3 linked regions of the Rhinolophus ferrumequinum genome follow. The protein of the gene in region 3 interacts with the protein of the main gene of each other region in a biochemical or structural test. Links are inferred from orthologs where the notes say so. Each region holds a gene or a part of one and is shown on either strand. Other genes may lie near its edges.

Region 1 (3,750 bases), on a different chromosome or scaffold from region 3:
GAAACACCTTAGGGAGTCCTGAAGATTTGAGCCAGGGAGTGACATGAGGTTTCTGCAGTCCAATAGTTTTGGATTGTGAATCCCAGTTCCCCCATTTCTTAGCCAGCCTGTGACCCTGGAAAATCCTCAGTCTCAGTTTCCTCATATGTGAAAAGTGATTAACAGTGCCTTCCTCATAGAATTGATGTGTGGATTAAATGAGATAATTCATGTATAGTATGCTGCTTTCAAGGCTAACATCATAAGAGTTCCATTAAGTACTGGCATTCATAATAAGAGCCCCTATGCAGAAAAGTGACAATAATACGAGGAATGGCCTGAGGTAAGTGAAGATGGAGGATTAAGGAAGGACTAGGAGCTGTTATAATCAAACCTGAACTAAGAAAGACAGCAAAAAAATTTCAGGAATGAAACTTATTACAGAAACAAAATCAAAATGAGGATCTAGTAATATACTGGAAATGGAGTAAGAGGGAAGAAAAATTTTAAATATTTGCTTTTTAATAATAGTTTTATTGTGGTTAACTACACATAAAATTTACCAATTAACCATTTTAAGCATACGGTTCAGTGATATTATACATTCATATTACTGTGTAACTATCACCGCCATCCATCTCCATATATTTCATCTTATAAAACTGAAACACTATACCATCAAACAATATTTTATTAAACAATAACATATAGCTATTTGTTTTAAGCCAGTGTAACTAGGAAAACTACTACTATGAAAAATAGGTTAACGCCTGAATAGGAACAGGTTTGGAAGGAATTGAGGGATTCACTTTTAGTTGCCTACTTTGAGGAAATACCATGGAATAGTCCTGTGAAGATGTCCATCCAGTAGGTAGCTGCACAAATGAAATTGAAGCTCAGGAAAGAAGTCATCTTGTTCAAAATCTCTACATTGTAAAATCCTCCCTGACCAATACCTTCTCTCTTCCATCACTTGTACTTCCCCACATATGCTAAACCTCCTACTCAATCTCTGGATTCCTTAAATTACTTAGGTCAGAGGTCTCTAACTGGCAGCCTCTGCTATACTGTCTGACCCAAAGACTGTTGAAAATTTTCTGAATCAGTCGTCAACATTTTAAAATAGTGGGATCTCACATAAATCTCAATTTTCAGCTCCTCTTGAAAATTGGAACTATCTGAGGAAAAGTGAGACCATGTTCCCACATGGAAACGATAACTTGCAGCTGAAAAGCAGCTGTCACTTGGCTAGCCTCTAGAAAGTTTTAAGTGCGTGACCTCTTAGGGGAAGCCTTTTTTCCATCTTTAGCCTGAGGTTCAGTCACCTCGCAGTCTTACATACCTCCCTACCCAGCACAGACCCCCAAAGACAAGTTGCTTTTGTTTTTAAATCATATATATTCTAATCATACAATCACTGAAGAACTACTGTGTACCAAGCACAGTTGCAGAAACAAAATTTAAATGAATGCATTCTCTGTCTACCCTTGTCAGCGTCATCTCAATTCCACGTGCCACACACGCCTTCCCCACTTTCGGCCTTTGCACATGCTGTTCTCTCTGCCTAAACTTTCTTCTCCTAATAATCCTCCACAGCTCAAGTGACAGTTCCTCAAAGAGACCTTCCCAGATACGCCTTAGTAGCTTAGTATTAACCCCTTTCACAAGTTCCCATAGCTCTTTCCCAACCTTCTTCGTTACAGTGAATAACCTTGTAATTCTCCGATTATTTCTGAGACCAGGAACTCAATCTTGTTCACCACTGACTTTCCAGCATCCAGCACAGCTAGTCAAATTACTTCCATAAAACTTTCAATAGATGTCCTAAGCACGCGTTCTTCCAACATGCCCACCCGGACAGCTTCCCCCCAATTTACTTCCTCCACTGCTGCTTCCAGAGTTAGAAAAAGCTACTGGAAACCCTCTTCTTAAACTTTAAATGGTTTTAAGCAGCAGGTAACAGGATCAAATTCGCAATTTTAAGAGATTATGCTGACTGCAGAGTGTAAAATAAAAGGAGAAAGGATAGGATGGGGGGGGTAGGTCCAGTTAGATTTTTTTCAGCATACTACTACTCCAGTTGTGGAATAACTTGGATCCTACACATTTAAATGGTTTTCTCAGTTACCATATTGCATGGTACTCTCCACGCCTTCAAATATACAGCTGCATACCACCGCGAACTCTGGACCCAGCGGCCCTCCACGAGCCGGGTTCAATAACGTGCGCTCCTCCCCACTGCGAGACCCCACATTTCCTCGGACTCTGCCAGCTGAGTCCAGGGGCCACACTCGGCGCAGCCAAGCCCGTCCTACCCGAGGTCGCACACGGGACGCTCCGGGGTCAATGGTTCTTTGGAGGACCAAGTCAAGAGAGTAGCTAAGGGGAGGAGGGTGGCTAAGGGCCAGGAGCGAAAAGGAAGAGAAACCCTGAAATGCGACTCCGGGCCAGGGAACCGAGAACAAGAAACAGGGAACAAGGTTTACCAAAGCGAATCCTCGAACACTCCCACTACAGCTTCCCTCAGCGCCTCAACTACCGGCTTAAACGTGTCACGCCACTCGAGCGACAAAGAAAACGCTTTATTCCTGCGACCAGCTTTGGAAACCACCCGCTTCTTTTAACCAGGCCGGCCAATCAGCACAGTGAAGCCTTCAATCAAGATGGTCATTCTCTGATTGGTCAATGAAATTGAGGGCTCGGCCCTCCATGCCCAGCTCTGATTGGCCTACAACCCGGAACTGGTATTAACCCCAGGAAGGCAATGGCAAGATGGCGTCCCTGGATCGGGTGAAAGTACTGGTGTTGGGAGACTCAGGTGAGCTGCTTAACCCACCTCTGGGGCTCCCGACACTTTTGAGTTATCCGATAACTACTACTCCCCTTCCCCCCCGCCCCGCAAACTAACTGACTCCGATCCGTGGCTGAAATCCCTCCCAAGGCGTAATGACTACACTTCCCAGAGGACTTTGCTCTGTTTGACGGAGCGGTGGCGTCGCGCGGATGGGGGTCGTGGAGTCCCGGCCCTTCTCGGCCTTCGCGTCTTTCAACGTCAATCTCCTGGGCGATCGTAGCCTAGTGTATATTGTCAGTTCCTTTTATTTAAAAGATATGCAGACATTGAGCATTGTATTGGGCGCCGGGCTAAGACAGAAGTTAGGACTGTGCCTTCAAGAGTTTGTTTATTAAGGAAGTCAAACGTGCACTTAAAAAAAAAAAAGACTCTTCTAAGTGCTTTGCATATATTAACTCACTTAATCCCGAGATCAACCCTATCACACCATTTCACAGATGACAAAAAGTGAAGCAGAGAGATATAAATGACAGAACCGGTTTGAACCCAGAGGCCACGTACTTAAACACTAAACTATATTATGAAATGAAATATCGAGTGGTAGTCCTGTTTTACTCTCTACTGGGCTTCTTGATTTCTTTGTTCTCTTTGATGTTAATTGAAAACCTGTTAGGTGCTAGATTGTAAGAAATAGAGACATTAAGGTAAGGGCCATATTATGTAGTAGCTAGGACTTAATGCTGAGCCCAGTTTTGTCCTAATGTTAAAATTCTTCTTTTGACACCTTGGACATTTGAGAACTAGAATTGAATTCTGCATTCCCTCTTCTCACCTTACTATCCTTTCTCACCATAGCCTCCACTCCTGTGCTCCTTTAGAACTTGGAATAAATGCTAACCTTTCAGTTCATAGATGTGCTTTTCTGGAGTTGACCTTTGAAAGTGTGTTGTGAGCAAAGACATTGTGCCAGATGCTTA
Region 2 (3,750 bases), on a different chromosome or scaffold from region 3:
CAATACAGAGACAGAGTGGTTGTCTGCAACAGGTGGTGCAAGCAGCGACTGACTATAAATAGGCATGAGGGAACTTTTTGGGGTGATAAAAATGTTCTAAAACAGAATTGTGGTGATGGTTACACAACTTTATTGTGGTTTTTACTAAAAAATCATTGAATCGCACATTATGATGGTATGCAAATTATACCTTACTAAAGCTGTTTTTAAAAAATCAATATAAACATATACTGTTTTACCAGAATCATCCAAAAGCCTCCTCAAGCAATCTTACCTGAGATTGCTTTAATGCTTGCTTTCCCCACCAAATTGGATTGGTATCAACGATGATAACTAGAAGATTCAACTCATCTTCTGAAAATATTAAGAAAAATAAAAAGTATTAGCCTCGTGGATCAAAGCCGACATTCTCAATCAGTAAATTAAATCCAGAGCAAACACCACTACAAGCCTTTACATGTTTCTAATCCTACAAGCACAAGATTAACAAAAGGCAAAGTTCTTTTAAAGATTTAAAGCTCTGTGGGTCCTTAGCAAGCTTTTGCCTGCTTTTTGTACCACTGCATCTTTCATCACTAGAATGTAAGCTCCATGAAGAGGGATTTTTTGTCTATTTTGTCACTGCTTATCCCCTATTCCTAGAATATAGCCTAGCCATAAGAGGATGCTGAATAAATATCTATTAAATGAACCCAAAGATATTTGCCTGGTCAACCATAGAAGGCACTGAATAACCAGTTGTAAGAACCACTAGTAGTAGAATTTCCGGCAGAGGGGTGGGAGGCTACAGGGAATACAGGAATCGATTTGGTCCCGAATCCATCAAATGACCTAGCAGCAAGGCCAGCTATGATTAGGAATCAATTTTTAAAGAGGTGAAAACCAAAGAGGGAAAACCAATTCCTGTGTAAAGACTATTTTACTGTGAAAGGAATTAGGCTGCTCTCCAAACACAGATATAACTAAACAGGCTAACTCAACACGTTAATTCACTCAACACACTAAGTACCGGTGTTAGGTGTTGCGCATACCATGTGCACGCCTTCAAGGAGCCTACACTCTTATTGAGGTAACACATATACAAACCCAGAAGCACATACTGTTATGAAAAACCCAGGATCCTAATCCTGGGATGAAAGAACACATGTAAATCACACAACAAAGGGCCTAGCACAGAAGCAGCACTTAAAGACTGTGTCTCCCATAGGCCCTCACTCCCCTACCCATAAGTCCTTAAGCCTTTGGTCTTATTCCCCATCAGGCCCCACCCCACAATTCTCGGGCCATCCATTCCTTGCTACTATTAAGAAGCCTGATGATTTCACTGATATGTGGTATATAAACCAAAAGCAACAAAAGAACAAGACAAACAAATGAGAAACAAAAACTCACAGACACAGACACTAGTTTAGTGGTTACCAAAGGTAAGGGGGGAGGGAGCTCGTAGATAAGGGTAAAGGGGAACAAACATATGGTGATGGAAGGAGAACTGACTCTGGTTGGTGAACCACACAATGGGATTTATAGATGATGTATTACAGAATTGTACACCTGAAATCTATGTAACTTTACTAACAATTGTCACCCCAATAAACTTTAATTTAAAAAAAGGGGGGAAAAACCCAGAAGCCTGATGAAAGAATGAAAGGTGTGTATTCACACACATGCAATGCCCTGTGAATGTCCTTCTTTGGTTCTCTGCCTCCTCATTGGTAGACAGGGGCCTTGCCAGCTCTGCCTCCCTCACAGGGTTGTGGTATGGATTAAAACAGATAAAGCAAGCATGGACAATCACAGCCTCCAAATAGATCTATTTCTATTCCTGTTTCCCACCGTCCATTTTCCATAGAGCAGACAAATCTTTACAATTTTATGTTAGATCATAATACTTCCTTGTTAAAACCCTAAAAAGGCTTTGTATTACACTTAAAAGTAAAGCTCAAGCTCTTTATCATGGCCCTCAAGGGCTCTGCACCTGGCTACCCTCTGATCTTATCCCTCTAGCCCACCTGGCTCGGGCCACCCTGGTCTCTTTTTTCTTCCCTTAAGACATCAGGCTCTGAAACTGGTAGGATGATATATGAATGAAAGTCTCTCCACCTTCCTCCTTCCCCAGGGTCCCCTTTTCTGTCTTCTCATTGTAAAGTAGTGGCTCAACTTGCCAGGGGTCTTTGCAGTCATATGGCTCAGTTTCAATATCACTGGTCTTCCCTGGACAACTATCGAAAGTAGCTCCTTCCTGAATCAACTCTTAATCTATCTACCACATCATTCCACTATATTGTTTTCATAGCTCTGTTCCCCTTCGAAATTTTTATGTATTTGCCTATTGTCTGTCTCACCCACTAGACTGCAACCTCCACGAGGGCCCGTCACGTACTCTGCTGCATTCCCCAGCACATACAACAAATAACGCCTGGCACAAAGGAGGTGATCCAAAAATATTTACTGAACGAATGAATGAATACATTCGTTACTCCTCTAAAGACCAAACAGGTTACATCCAACCCAAACCATATAATCCATTTGGCCGGGCCTGGCCGGGCCTAGTTGGTCCAGCCCCGGGGTATGGGTCCCACCCGGCGCGGCCCTCACCGTCTGAGACCATGGCTGCCCGGGTTCCTCAGCGCAGGGCCAAGAGCAATCAGAAGAGCATCCCGGATGTGGCGCTCTCCAACTTCCGGCGCTGTCAAATGACGTCAGAGGCGGTTTGACCGAGGCCCCGCCCCCAAAGCGCCGGAAGTGGAGTGCGGAGCCGCGCCGCGCGCTGTCAGTCTCTGTGGCTCGGAGCCCGCGCGGTCACCCGACTCGTGCAGGTAGCGCGAGCGGCTCCGGGCCCCTCGGGCTCTGCGGTCCGGAGGGCACCATGGACGACAAGGGTAAATCGGGAGGGGATGGGCCTGCTAGGACCAAAGCGGAGCCGCTCAGGGGTCCCTCCACCTCGCACACACAGGCTGGGCTCAGGGAGAGGTCACTTTCCAAACTTAGGTTGCTCTGCTGGATGTGGTTCCTCTAGTCACAACTAATCTTTCTCGCTGCTCCGGTATCCAGGGGATGGTCTCTGAGAGCATCTGCAGACACCCCCTCTCCACACGCTTCTTTCCACTGCCCTCGTCCAAAAAAGTAAGACTTTAGACGAAGTGTCAGGTCTTCGCAGTCTTGATTTCCCCATATGTGGGATAGGAATAAGACTCCCTGCTCTGTTGGATCTGGTACTAGAATCGAGAGAATAAGCCGTGTTTGATGTGGTCATCTAGTGTGGTGATCGAAGTGTTTTATTAAGTGAAATACAAGGGCAAACTTTCATGTTAAAAAGATAAAAGGGGATTGACCTCTACATACACGTAAATAAGTTTATATGTGAACAGGCTTGACTTAGCATAGACTGCCCGCAGGGGTACAGGAGAAATTGATAAGATGGTTGACTCTGGAATTCTCTCAGAACTTGGGGTCAAGGATAAGAGGGAGAATGACCTTTCACTATCATTCAGTAGCTGTCATCTCTAGTCCCATCAACATTTATCATTCCCCTGAAAGCCAAACACATGAAAAGTAGTTTTTAAATTATGTTGCTTCTTAAGGTCAACAGTTATTGACAAGTTCTCCGGCCTTAGATCCTGATAAACAAATTTGATGAGTCACTTTTTTCTCTCTTCTCAGAGTTAATCGAATACTTTAAGTCTCAGATGAAAGAAGATCCTGACACAGCCTCAGCAGTGGCTGCCATTCGGACTTTGCTGGAGTTCTTGA
Region 3 (3,750 bases):
AACTTAAGTCGATATTATCTTTAACTCAACAGAAACCCATACCTTGTGATTTTTAGTCAAGGTATGCCTACTATTTCTGGCTGCCTCAGGGGGTTAATGACTAGTAAGGGAAAGGGCTACGGCTTACAGGACATGCTATGAAGAAACCGAATAGAGTGCCGGGGCTACATATTAAATCAAAACCATACATTCAATCAGGAATCTTGGGTTTCACTGAGTCACCTTCAAGGAGTAAAAGTCTAGTCCAGAGAAACAGGATGGATTCTATCCTAATTTATGTTTAAAGCAAGCAAGCAAGCAAACAAAACCCACTAGGACTTTGAGACAACTGGTAAAACTCAATATGCCAACAGTTTGAAAAGATTATATCCTTCAGTGAAGTCAATACATTTCTAATGAGTGTCTACAAATGTACTAGCCATAGTTCTAAAGATAATTCGAATGGAAGTAAACAAACAATAAATGTATAAATAAGAGGATTTCAGATTTTGATAAATGCTATGAAGATAGAGAAATATGGCAAAGAACCCTAGGGAAGGATGGAGGCATGCCTCTTTTAGCTAGAGTGAGCAGCAAAAGCTTCTAGGTGGAGGAGATATTTGAGTGAAATCTAAATAAGGAATCAGCCATGCCAAGTTTTAGAGGAAAAATGTATTAGCCAGAAGGCAGAGCAAATGCAATGATCCTGGAATTGGAATGAATTTAAAGTGTTCAAGAAACAAAAAGGTCAGTTGGCTAGAATACAGCCTACCGGGAATAGAACTGAAAAGATAACTTTAGAAAGGGTTGGGAGATTTAAAAAAGAGAGAAATAAAAACTGTGGGGAGAATTAAGGGTTTTACAAAGGAGTAGCTATAGTGCTGGGTTACAGAACATAAAATGGAAAACGAGGTAAGTCAGGAAAAGTAAAGAAGATGATAATGGCAGGAATAATTGTGCCAAGGAAGAGAGGGTATTAGTGTTAAATGAATGAGGTAGATATGCTTCAAAGGAGTTAGGGATTTTGAAGAAGAAACAGATTCAAAGTAGCAACAGGAACAAAGTAGCAATACAAAGGTGGAAGTCCCCTACTTCACCAATAGGCCTTGAGATGTGAGAAAAACAGCCTTTCCTTGAGAGGGTTATTGATTTTTTTTTTTTTTTTTTTTTTAAGATTTTATTGGGGAAGGGGAACAGGACTTTATTGGGGAACATTGTGTACTTCCAGGACTTTCTCCAAGTCAAGTTATTGTCCTTTCAATCTTAGTTGTAGAGGGCGAAGTTCAGCACCAGGTCCAGTTGCTGTAGTTAGTTGCAGGGGGCAGAGACCACCATCCCCTGTGGGAGTCCAGCAGTTGAACTGGCAACCTTGTGGTTGAGAGCCCACTGGCCCATGTGGGAATCGAACCGGCAGCCTTTGGCTTTAGGAGCACAGAGTTCCAACCGCCTGAGCCACCGGGCTGGCCCGGGTTATTGATTTTTGTAGTATGGGAAAGGGCAATCAACCTGGCAGCAGGACTTAAATCCTAGCTTTAACAATTACTAACCATCTGTATCATCTTGAAAGTCACCTACCGTTTTTTCCCGAAAATAAGACCTTCAGCTCTAATGAGTCTTTGTGAGCAAAAATTAATATAAGACCCGGTATAAGACCGGGTATAATATAATACAATATAACATAATACTGGGTCTTACATTAATTTTTGCTCCAAAAGACGCGGTAGAGCTGATGGTCCGGCTAGGTCTTATTTTCGGGGAAACACAGTCCTCTCTCAGCCTCAGGTACCTGAAGTGTAAAACAGAGACATTTACTTTACCTATTTCCGCAAGGCTGTTTTGAGGGTTAAATGAAAAAATGTAGGTGAAAGTGCCTGGCACATAAAGTTAGCTAAATACGGCCTAAGTTTCTTGAATGAATGCAAATAAAAAAGCTACTTAAATCATTTTTAAAAATGCATGCACATCAATGTTGTTCATGTTGGTGAAAGCCTTTCATGATAAATCTGTACACAGAAAATACAGATATGACAGATACATAGAGTGGATGCAGGTGAGGCAGAAATAGGGAAGATCATGATATTAAATAGTTTGAGGACCCAGCAGATTGGCAGTACTCATCCCCTTTGCCAAAGACTGAGTCGAATAAAGCAAACATAACATACTGTTTCCTTTTCATTTCAATTAATAGAAAAGAATAGTTCAATTCGAGCTCCATTTTGGAACACAGGACACTAATAAATTATTCTTCCTATGAAAATGACATAAGTAATTCATTAGTAGAACATGGTCAAGATTAGTAAAACGGCCATCCACCAGCGCACACATCTACTTCTTAAGAGACTCAAATAAAAAAAACCAAACCCTGTAACTCACTTTCTTAATGGCGACTATTTGGTTGGTGTTCTTGTCTCTGGCCTTGTAAACCGTGGCAAACTGGAGAAAAAAGAGAAATAACGTAAGTTTGTGGCAATTTTTCGTGTTTGCCTTTTTACTTTAGATTTTGGGAAGCAAAGAACCCAGGGTTCTTGCAGCGGACTTTCGGCGGCTTGAAACGTACAGGCAGTTGTTCTGTCCACGTCCCGTTCCTCTCTATCATTCAGAAAGGAGAAGGCCGCTCAGGGCTCATCTCCAGGGTATGGAGGGGCAACAGCTGCCTCTGGGCAGCCTTGGCCAAAGAGAACGAGTAGCCAGGCCAGAGAAAACCTGTGAAGGTGTGAGGCGGCTCCGTGGTCTCCGCTCAGCACCGCCGAGTCCCCGATAGCCTCACCTGGCCCTCCCCGAGGAAGTCCAATTTTTCGTAACGCTTTGCTCGCGACTTCACGTCCACAGCCATCTGTCACGCGAATCCCGACTCCAGCTGAAAAGGGCGAGCGCCCAAAACAGCAGGAATTTAAAGCTACCTTAAAGCCTCCAACAGTCACTTCCGTTCACTAGGCTCCGACGCTTTGTTAGCTCCGCCCCCACTTCCGGGATAGGCGTGGCTGCTATTAAATAAGTCCCGCCCGAGCCCACCCAATGGAAGGCAGGGATCGTTGGCTTTTCCGCGCCGCTCCCCGCCCTGTCACGTGATCGCCCGTTGGTACCGGAAGTGGGGAGTTTTCGATGGTGGTTAACCTGTGTCACTTTTTTACCGTTTTAACTTATGTATTTTCTTCACTACCGGGGACCGGTCAGCGTTCTATGATGTTCTGAGTTCGGGATTTGATAGGTATGTATGAGTATGATAGGGTTGGTCCACCTGATTTCTCTGTCTGGTTCACGCTAAAGGGTTCTGTCGCACCGTTACTATGGACGCCTAGCCCGGCAATCTCAGGTTACTTAGAGCGCGCCCAGTTGTTAAGAGCTGCTCAAGAGGCATTCTTACTTAGTCTAGTCTCTTAGTCTAGTCTCTTTATGAAAAAGCACGCCTAGGCAAACAAAATCCAAGTCAACTTTAGAGTTTTGTGCTGTGGAACAGACTTCTGGTCATCAGTTTTTTACTCTGTAACGTGGAAATAATAATAGACCACATACATCATAGGCTGTTGTGAGGCTTAAATGAGACATGCAGAGTTTGGATATATAGTAAGTGCTTATTAAGTGTTAACAGTGATCAGTTCTCAAATTTTGATTCTCATAAGATTTGCATCCAAATCAAACACAATTCATTTATTCAGTATTTATTGATTGCTTACTATGTGCCACTTTGTTGTATACTGAGAAATCAGCAGGAAAAAAGAGATTCCTGCATTCAAACAAGAGTACATAACAAATAAGTAAAATGTTATGATC

The links.
Region 1: of the proteins of CDK7 (region 3) and GTF2E1, one has a biochemical effect on the other in vitro, tested with the Homo sapiens proteins (3 studies listed by BioGRID, with this or other methods). The link is inferred for Rhinolophus ferrumequinum from reciprocal best matches to the Homo sapiens genes CDK7 and GTF2E1.
Region 2: the proteins of CDK7 (region 3) and GTF2H3 form a complex in vitro, tested with the Homo sapiens proteins (2 studies listed by BioGRID). The link is inferred for Rhinolophus ferrumequinum from reciprocal best matches to the Homo sapiens genes CDK7 and GTF2H3.

Annotation. Positions count from the first base shown.
Region 1 is NC_046285.1:46,089,715-46,093,464, reverse strand, and holds the start of GTF2E1 (general transcription factor IIE subunit 1), read right to left. Parts: upstream 2,595-3,750; 5' UTR 2,466-2,594; intron 2,457-2,465; exon of another isoform or gene 2,108-2,456; intron 2,085-2,107; exon of another isoform or gene 803-2,084; intron 763-802; exon of another isoform or gene 1-762. Other genes in the region: RABL3 (rab-like protein 3), read left to right, coding at 2,752-2,797.
Region 2 is NC_046308.1:4,295,700-4,299,449, forward strand, and holds the start of GTF2H3 (general transcription factor IIH subunit 3), read right to left. Parts: upstream 2,685-3,750; 5' UTR 2,609-2,684; coding exon 2,596-2,608; intron 355-2,595; coding exon 275-354; intron 1-274. Other genes in the region: EIF2B1 (translation initiation factor eIF-2B subunit alpha), read left to right, coding at 2,867-2,879, 3,661-3,750. UniProt on the Homo sapiens protein: Component of the general transcription and DNA repair factor IIH (TFIIH) core complex, which is involved in general and transcription-coupled nucleotide excision repair (NER) of damaged DNA and, when complexed to CAK, in RNA transcription by RNA polymerase II.
Region 3 is NC_046290.1:44,758,263-44,762,012, reverse strand, and holds the start of CDK7 (cyclin-dependent kinase 7), read right to left. Parts: upstream 2,930-3,750; 5' UTR 2,813-2,929; coding exon 2,747-2,812; intron 2,695-2,746; exon of another isoform or gene 2,576-2,694; coding exon of another isoform or gene 2,537-2,575; intron 2,413-2,536; coding exon 2,353-2,412; intron 1-2,352. UniProt on the Homo sapiens protein: Serine/threonine kinase involved in cell cycle control and in RNA polymerase II-mediated RNA transcription. Cyclin-dependent kinases (CDKs) are activated by the binding to a cyclin and mediate the progression through the cell cycle.